Drosophila melanogaster: one gene and its partner. The protein of the gene in region 1 interacts with the protein of each later gene in a pairwise test. Each region holds a gene or a part of one and is shown in the gene's direction. Other genes may lie near its edges.

Region 1 (6,204 bases):
AATGGCTTTCGAAAGCTTCATATATCTTCAAATATGTGTTCGTCATTCAAACGATTGAGCCAAATGCACAATGAGTTGAAGTTTTTGATAAAAAATAAATCGTTTAATTCTACTTAAAACTGGAAACTAGTTTAAGCTAGTTTAAAAAAATGCATAACATTGATACATTTTACTATGGTTGCGATAATATCTGCCTAGTTCTGAAGCAATAGAAATGTCCTACTTTACAGATCCTTAGATTTCTTATTTTTTATATGCATGGCAGAAAAGTTCACATATGATTCACATAATTTATTGTAGTGTACTTCGGTTTCGAAACACCAAGGTCAAGTTGGCACTTCCACAAATGATAAAAGAACCGAAGTGCAGGAGAATCCAAGATAGTCTTGATTTCCTGTTTTCTTTCAAGTGAAGCTGCTGCAGGTGCGAAAAAGTGGGGAAGATGTGATGGGGCTGCTGGGCAAACAAGTTATCGCCGCGTTTGTGCACCGTTTTACGAGGGAAAGCTTTTGTCTTTGGACACGATTAGTGGAGAAGCGGCAATTTGGGTGAAATCTTATCAATCAGCGGCGGGCATTGAAGCGTTCGCGGACGGAGACGAGAGCATCGGCAATTTAATTGCGGAAATAAAGGGGCAGGCAGGCACATTCCACACTGCTGACGGGACAAAGTTTGTTCGATGGATGATTAAGCCGCGTTTTCAGGTGGAGCAGGTGGGGCGGTGTTGGGCTGTATCTGGTTTTGGATAGTAACCAGTCACGCTACATGGAGCAATTCGAATCTCACGCCAAATGCGGCTCAGGATGGGCACACAGTGGGGGCGGGGCTGCAGCTTATATGCACCTGAATCTGGGAGAATCCTTCAGGCACTCCTCGAACTCGATGGTGGCGCGCATTTTGGCCACCACGCAAGCAGCACCTAGACTGCACTGCTGGCTATTTCGCTACGCTAATTGAGGCCCGTGAATCTTTGTTGGCCTGTTGCTGCTGCTCTGCTTTGCTTTGCTTTCCTTGCTGAAGTGGGGATTTCGATGCGCGATTTTCGAGGGCGGCTCTGGGAGAAGCTAATTGCGGGCAGCAGGAGATATGGTGATTAGTCGCATCCTTGGCAATCGACGGCTACACACGTTGAGCACTGGCCCTAATTAGCGAAACTCGCCAATTTACGCGATTCGGGGCCGAATTTACCAAATTTACACAGCGCGCAGAGACAACAAATTAAAACGTCTCACTTTCTACTAGAGCAGATCGGTGTGCCCGCACTCGCAGCGAAAACAAATCTAGCAGCGCGAATGGTCACACACTTTGGCGGGCTTATTTGCTTTTGCTCATATCTTTTAAAATTTTAAATGTATTGAATGCTTAGTGTTTTCCTTGTGCTGATTTTCGTTTTAAAACTCGATTAGTTACGAAGATTTCAATTCAAAGGCATAAAACAACGCACATTGACATTGTCAGCACGGTTTATCAGTGTTGGAAACTTTTGTAGCTAAGAAGAAGCTAATTAGGAACTTAAATTCCCTAAAAGAAGATACAGCCCAAAAAAGATTTGGGTTCTAGCCATAATCAATGTAGATGTATTTAAAGTACAAACGATGACAATTTTAAACACCAAAACAAGCAAATCCGTTTCAAGCTACCGCCAGCCAAGTCAAATCTAGCTACAAAACAGATCAGCTGACAGCACCGCTGGATTTTAGGGTGCCCGCCTTGTGCGACAAGAATCCGCGGCCAGTGCTGCACAAGTGCCATTTTTCATTTCATTGTTCTGTTCTCTTTCTGCTGGTGCTGTTTTGGTTTAAGTGCAATTATCCACACAAGTACGCACCGAAAACCGATGCACCTGCACCGTGCACCAAGTGTGGGAGTGCCCAGTGCCAGTTTCATTTATAAAACTATGAGTTTCGCACGGCAACCAGCGCAGCTGACCGACTGACCGATCAGAGTCTCACGTCCCCCCTCGCCTCATGTGTTTACCCCTTGTCCAGCGTTCTATTTGCGTTTCGTGTCCGCTTTAAATCGCCTCATTTGCATACAACTCGACGGCTTTACGTCACAACTCTTTAAAATCGGCGAAGTAGAGGAGGAGGAGTGAAACACGCCCATTCCCGGAGGAAGCATTAGACCGACCTGTTTGGAATCCAGAATGTGGAAGTGCCACAAGTGCGGCAAACCCGTTTACTTCGGTAATGCACCCACACACGAGCGCATTGCGATCCGTAAATAACTTGTAAATTATATTTATTTATGCCCCGCACAGCGGAACGTAAACAATCGATCGGCTACGATTGGCATCCGGAATGTTTGCGCTGCGAGGAATGCGGCAAACGCTTAAATCCCGGCCAGCATGCTGAGGTAGGAGGATCACCTGTTAGTTAGCCGATCATGTGATCTATATAAAGCCTTTTGTTTTCCTTTCAGCACAAAAGTGTGCCCTACTGCCATGTGCCCTGCTATGGCGCCCTGTTTGGACCCCAGTTGTTTGGCCACGGCACCCGGGTGGAATCGCACAAAAGCTATGGGGTGAAGGGAGCCCAGAAGCCAACCGGAGCTCAGGCCAATGGCCCGCCACTCCCACGTGATCACCTGGAGTCCAAACTTAAGGTGCAGAACGCAATACCCAGACATATCAATATCTCATGACTCACCAAATTCCCTTTTAATGGGCAGGTCTACAACCAATTCTACGACAACAAAAGCCTGGAGATACGTAGTCGTGAGGTCAACAACCGGTTGGTGCTGGAAGGCGCGCTTAGAGTTTACTGGGGCGTGCAGGGAGTGATTCATCTCAAGGAGGACGATGATCAGCGCATCTTAGTGCGCAAAAGGAACTCTTGCCGTGTGTCCAAGGCTGCCAATGTAAGCTGAATCTATAACATAACAAAACGTTATTTATACAATTGTACCCACAGGAAAGCAGTTCGGATAAGGAAAACGAAGCTAGCGAATCGCTGGCTCCGCCCACCACCACCACAGCCGAGGTCGATCAACTATCCACGGATGTTTCCCTTTCCGAGAGCATGACCTTCGACTCCTGTAGCCTGAACGAGATCTCCGAGTTGCCCACAACCCCAGAAGATGCCTCGGCCAACACCACAGCCAACAGCAAAGAGCAGACCAATGGTAATGTGTGCAACGACGACGAGGATACGACCACGACGGACTCATCTGGAACCCTGGTGGAGGCTCCTACTGCCAGCACAAGTTGTGTGTCCAGCACATTGCCTTCGAAGTTGGACCGTCTGGAAAAACTGGATTGGGACGACATAGACGATCTGCTGCAGGTAGAGAGACGTCACAACGACAAGGATCGCATTTATGAAACTATGCCTGTCAAACTGCCGTCGTCGCAATCCTCCAGCGACAGTTCGCCCAGCAAAACATCCACAGAGACCACTACGACCACTGAATCAAGCTCGACTCAATCGGCATCAACAAACACCAGCAGCACGGATGATTTTATGACCGCCACGGGATCGTTGACTGCCAACACCAATACGCAGAATACAACAACGGTGTCTACTACTGAGACCTCTCTGGATAACTTCGAGACTTGCGATGACGCTACCCTGAAGCCTATTGATTTCGAGGACTTTAAGCGTAGTGTCCACCAGGACTATGTAAATGGGGCCAACTCCTTTACGGAGCCCAATGAGGGCACCCTTAAGCGTAATCAACCAATTGATCCCTCTCGCATTCACGACTCCCTTAAGCTCTACGGCGAGAATTCAGCGATGAGCAAAAGCTTTAATTGTGAGCATGCATTGCGGTCAATAGATCCCACTTTAATCAACGACACCATGAATCTGCGCAGTAGTGTGGGCTCTCCTCACTCCGCACAGCGTCAGTACGCCTTACAAAAGAGTGGATCGGCCACAGTAACCAGCAGGGATCAAAAGAAGCCATATCAACAGGGGCGGCAGTTGTTCGAAAAGGGCATCAACCGCTCCAAATCGGGACCCAGCTGTTTTGTGTACTCCGACAGCGATGACGACGACGAGGCCACGCTGCGTCCCCAACGTATGGCCACCATTCGACGCAGCGACATACCTCAGCGGTACATACAAATCCAGATGGACTGTTATCCCAAAGAGAATGTGGCTGCTGCTAGCGAAGGTGAGTCAAGTCGGGCAGATGCTCCATCCATAACCAGTGGTGCAGCGGCCGGCGATGAGCTTACGCAAACCGAGGATTTGTACACTGCAAGCGAGGGCGTTGATGGTCCAGACGGAGATGGATCGGCTGGGTTGCATGTGACGGAAGATGGAGTTGTGCTGAGAAGACCTCCACGCACAGGAGCTTCTGCCATCAAGCGACGAAGTGGCAATCGTCGGTAAGTTACTGAAACTTTTAATGAAGAAATTGTGTTGTAATTCCAACTTCTTAATCAATAGTTCTCGTACCAAGCTGAAACGTCGGTGCTCTATCAATGGTCACTACTACAATCGGGAGACGTCGTTTTTCACGCCGCCCTACGGTTCTCAAATGTCAGTGTGGGTCTCCTCGATGGTGACCACCACTGAGGTTATCAACTTGGTGCTGGAGAAATACAAGGTGGACAGTTCGCCTGGCAATTTTTCACTCTTCATTGTTCGCGACAATGGTGAACAGAAACGTCTCAAGGACGACGAATATCCTTTGATAACGCGCGTCACTTTGGGACCTCATGAGGATGTGGCTCGTATATTTTTAGTGGATTCTCGCAAAACTGATGAAATCAGGCAAGTTATAACACTCCTTTTCAATAGAAGTTTGCTTACGTTTCTTTTGCATCGCTGCAGTAATGAAGTTGCTCAATTTTTGAATTTATCTTTGCCCGAGTGCCGTGCTATTCTGGAGCGCTACGACCAGGAACTGGCCCGCGAAGTGGCCAAAATAAAGGAAAGGTGGGTTTTAAAAAATAATTTTACATCCCAAGACTTTGCATTGAAAGAGAATTACTTTTCCGCAGATACGCCGAATTGCGACGTCGTATTGTCAGTCGCATGGAATCTCTGAAAGTGCATTTGTAAAACGTAAATGAAACCTCTGGCATAAGAGCAATTTTTTATTAGCCATAACATGAATGCGGCCAAAAAAGAAGTGTCGGCAGCAGCACAGCTAATAGTATTCACGTTTTTATACGAGATATATATTTTTATGTAGAATCTAGAGAAAATTACGAACTAGCAAACATTAGGCGCCCAGTGAACAAAAAGCAGCTGCTGCTCGTCGCAAAATACATATACATACATTACGTTTAGGGTTCGATTCTTCCCAGCCGAAACTAACAATCAATTCCAGGCATTTCCATTCGTTTAGAAAGCGTTTAAGACTTGTAACTAACCAAAAAATAATTATTAATCCACAACATTACCATACAGTTTTTTGTTTTATGTTAATAATCAATGTATGTGCTTTATGCAGTCACGTTAAAAGCGTTGTCATTCATGTATCTATTGTACAATGTTTAGCTTTTAAGCCGTGACATGAAGCACAGGTCCTGCTAGTAGCGTGTAGTTGAAAGCCATTTTATCGAGTCATTGAACAAATGTGTGAAAATCAATTTGATTAGAAATCGCAATGCCTGCGAAACAATAAGAATAACTGTGCACATACTTCATATTGCATAACATGGACTTGTTGATTGAAAATCATTTGGAAATCCAATAAAATGAAAATTTTACAACAGAATCGCCGCCTCTTTCGGTGACCAGCCAAGCGGAGTTTAAGGCCCCATGGTCGCCAACAAATTCCGGCAAGTAACGCGTCCCTAGTGCAAAGGGGCGAACCTAAAGGCGGCAGCAGTAGCAGAAAGTGTGAGCCGAATATTCAAAAAAGGCAGCAACCGGCGCCAGCCGTCCGTGCCCAAATGGGGATCAAGTGGAGGTGGACCTCTAGCCCCCCCCCCACACACACACACACACATACACACACTAGGGTGGGGGCAAACCGATGCCCTGTCCTGGCCAAAGCAGCCATCAAAGCACAAGTCAATGATGCCATTATAATAGAGAAACGACGGAGGAGCAGCGCGGAAATAGCGACGAGGACGAAAGTAGGCAAGCACTGGCTCACTCACATAATAAATGCACACCCCACAGCGGCACAGAGTGAGTGTGTGTGCGTGGCTATTAATTTGAAACTGACAGAGCCTACGGGTCTCCATTCCGGCTACAACGTGGTTGGGACTCCGCAACAACTACAGGACCGTGCCAGCGTTGG
Region 2 (3,329 bases), on another chromosome or scaffold:
ACATCGCATTTCGTCTCCGACAGAGAGGCAATCAAACATGGCAGGAAAACTGCAGCTGAAAAACAGTTGTTGACTGTTTGCCGGCATCGCCTATATCTCCATCATCATGATGTTGATGATCATCATCATCTTCACCTCGCAACAGGACACAACATCGCAACGTCATCATCGCGTGGAGGAACAAGTGAAGGAGGACATATCCTCGTCATCGTCACTTTTATGCTGCTGTTTTGTCGCATCCACTGTGCTTATAAGCATCCGCTCGTCACATGCGTGCAAGCGTATCGGGGATCTACACAGCGAGAAAACGGATTTAGCTTATAATTTTTAGTAATATACATTTTGAATAATATATACCTAATTAGTCATTCCATCAGATAAACGGAAACTGATAATATTGTCTCTCCCCTTAAAATATATTAATATTAATATAAAAATATTAAAGGCATCGTGCTTTAATATTTTTACGCATTTTTTCTCGCGGTGTCTGGGCTCGTATCTGAACGTACTCCGGCAAAGGCTTGTTTATTTGCTGGCAAAATTGTGAAATAATGTGCTGCAATCAATTCCCAATACAGCGCTCCGTGACCTCTAGCCCCTCTTCACATGCGGCACTCCCTCACTTTTCCCTTTGGAAAAGCGGGAGAAAGCGGGAAAAACGGTGTGCAGTGAAGTTATTTGAAGTGGCAGCTGCCACAGAGCGAACTGCAACTGCCACAACTGCATTGGTTGCCCCACGCCTCTTATCATCACTTGATTTACCGCCCCCACTTCCCCCATTTTCCACGTTTTCGTCCGTATCGGAGGTAACATGTTTGTGATGAATATGTTTACATCAATAACAAAAACTCCACTATGGCGCATCAATAATGAAGCCTTGCTCTGACTCCGCTTTACAAAACCCCCTATCATTCCATCCAACGGGCGGCAAAACCCCATTTTGAACACGTCAAAATGAGTTTACTTTGTGGTTTCGATGGCTGCGATTGGAAACTGCTCCCGCGGATTATGAAGTATCTCGATTGGAGTACCGAATACATTCATCCACACACAAACACATCGAGTTCTTGACATCCTCAACACAAAAACAACAGTAGCAATGGCAACAGGGATTACTTCGAGATTGCAGCAGGAAAACCACTTGATATTTTGAAAGTGAATCCGTCCACAGTCTGATCGGAGATTTGGTATTATCCGAGATTAGGGGTTGGGTATTTGCTCGATACGGAGACAAGGACTTAATTTATAATTAATAAACATGTTTGGCTTAATTTACCAGAGAATAATGATGGAGTAACAATGAATTTGAAACTCCACTAAGCAGCATTTAAACAACATACGTAAACATACAAATTTAATATGTATGGTAACAATAAATAAAGTAATTTTAAAATCGAATATAAGAAGATAATATGTGACTTGAAGCAGGCATACCTTCTACTACATAATTAGATCCCAATTTAAAATGTTAAACAGAGTAATTTGAGTGCAGAGTTCATAGAGAGATTTATGATAATAAATTAAAAATAAAATAAAAAATTGTACGCGAATGTAATGAAGTTATACAATAATCTTCCAAGAAAAGGAGCCCACGATTTTTATATATTTTTTGACGATGACAATGTATTTTATCAGTTAAATATTATAAGCCATATAGGGCACACACAAGTTTACACTAATACATTTTAGTTCGGTAATTAGTTCCTTTCAAAGGCCAAAACTACACATAGCTACAAACAAGAATGGATGGGGACCAAGTAAAGGGCATCCTGAAGTCGGGAAACAATAGTGCGCAATTTAGCCTGAAGGCAGCCAAATTTGATGAGGTCAACATACTGGCCACGTTCCACCCGGCTGGTAAGGACTACGGCCACATGATCATCGACGAACCAAAGACACCCTTCGTCTTTGAGGAGGATTTGCCAAAGGAGTTGGATACAAATGCCCTGATCGAAAAGTTGAGACACACATCAAAGTCAGAAATGCCGGCATTTGGCATCGAAGGAGACTCAGAAGAATCCTCGGCGGATGAGGACTTTCCCGAGTCTGTAGAGGAAAAAGTGCGTAGAATGGAGTTTGAGAGGCGGCGAAAAGTGCATTACAAGGAGTTCTATTCGGTTCCACTGGCTCGACGTCTTATAGCCGACGAGTTTGCCGAGTTGACCAGTTCAGAGTTTAATATTCACTGCGAAGGGGGAATGGAATCTTGTGAAGCGTGCAGTGAAAACAATCAACTCGACGGCGAAGCAAGCAACTTGACGCAAACAAAATACTCATATTCTGAAAGTCAATCCGAATACAGGATATCAGATCATTCTGAGCCTGAACCAGGTTTCTCCCCCAGCCATCACTGCTACCAAAAACTGAAGGCCGAGCTCTTTAGCAAAGCAGAGCCGGAAGAATTGGCCTCTTTAACGCACTTGCATCGAATGCCATCGGTCAACGATGATGAACCAAGTCGCGAGCCTCGCGTCCCATACCCTTCGGTTGTTCCGACTCAAACCCAAAATCTACATGAACACAAGAGTTCACTGAAAATAACGTCCGAGAAGCCTACTCCTGCTCGTATATGTAAATCCAACCCTGATAATCGTCCTGGCACTTCTAAGAAAGAGACCCGCTGAAATCATTCAGTAGTGTTAAAAATTGCAAAGTTATATTAAAGAAACTTGTAATTATAACAAACCATTGGGGATTAAAACTTGTGTATGCATTTGACAGAAAGTATCTATTACACTACATCTATCTACACTCTTTTGTAGAAGAAGCTTTTAACAAATGTTGCCTAATGGTTTTTACTCAAGGATAAATATCTTTAATTACTCAATCACAAAAATTGTGTCCAATAACTTTCGGTCATTCCACTCCTGTTCGTGCCTCGTCTAAGTTGCTAAGGAAATTATAGGAAAATTCTAAGTACCACTGGCCAGGCTAATTGCTGAGATGTTGATATGATTAACCCACTAACCTTCATTTGCTCCCCATCTATTAATACTTTGCTTCCGAAAGTTCACTGGTCTGGGGAATATTTAATTACGCAATGTCCTAACGGTAATCATCATTCGGCCGAAGCTAGATACAAGGATACACAGCCAGAGTTTAACTTATTTTGGCATTTTGTTTTGTGATTGAAAATTCCTTTTGACAGTCTAGGCAACCGAAGAGTTTTCCTTCCGGCCAATCGCTTTCATTCTGATTTCATGCTCTGGCCATTCCAATTGTGAAGAAAACTGATTTCTGCCCTTTAAGATAATTCCTCGGATATTACAACTGCAGAATCACTTGAAATAATTATGCAAAATGTTTAATTTAGCCATTAAATGCCGTAG

Evidence for each region.
Region 2: the proteins of Rassf (region 1) and CG6380 interact in a two-hybrid assay, tested with the Drosophila melanogaster proteins (one large-scale study listed by BioGRID).

Annotation. Positions count from the first base shown.
Region 1 is NT_033777.3:23,113,481-23,119,684, reverse strand, and holds Rassf (Ras association family member), read left to right. Parts: upstream 1-1,753; 5' UTR 1,754-2,146; coding exon 2,147-2,186; intron 2,187-2,260; coding exon 2,261-2,355; intron 2,356-2,421; coding exon 2,422-2,604; intron 2,605-2,670; coding exon 2,671-2,859; intron 2,860-2,912; coding exon 2,913-4,333; intron 4,334-4,394; coding exon 4,395-4,721; intron 4,722-4,781; coding exon 4,782-4,886; intron 4,887-4,951; coding exon 4,952-5,012; 3' UTR 5,013-5,671; downstream 5,672-6,204. Other genes in the region: CenB1A (centaurin beta 1A), read right to left, coding at 844-896.
Region 2 is NT_033779.5:17,290,522-17,293,850, reverse strand, and holds CG6380 (uncharacterized protein), read left to right. Parts: upstream 1-1,648; 5' UTR 1,649-1,742; coding exon 1,743-2,624; 3' UTR 2,625-2,776; downstream 2,777-3,329.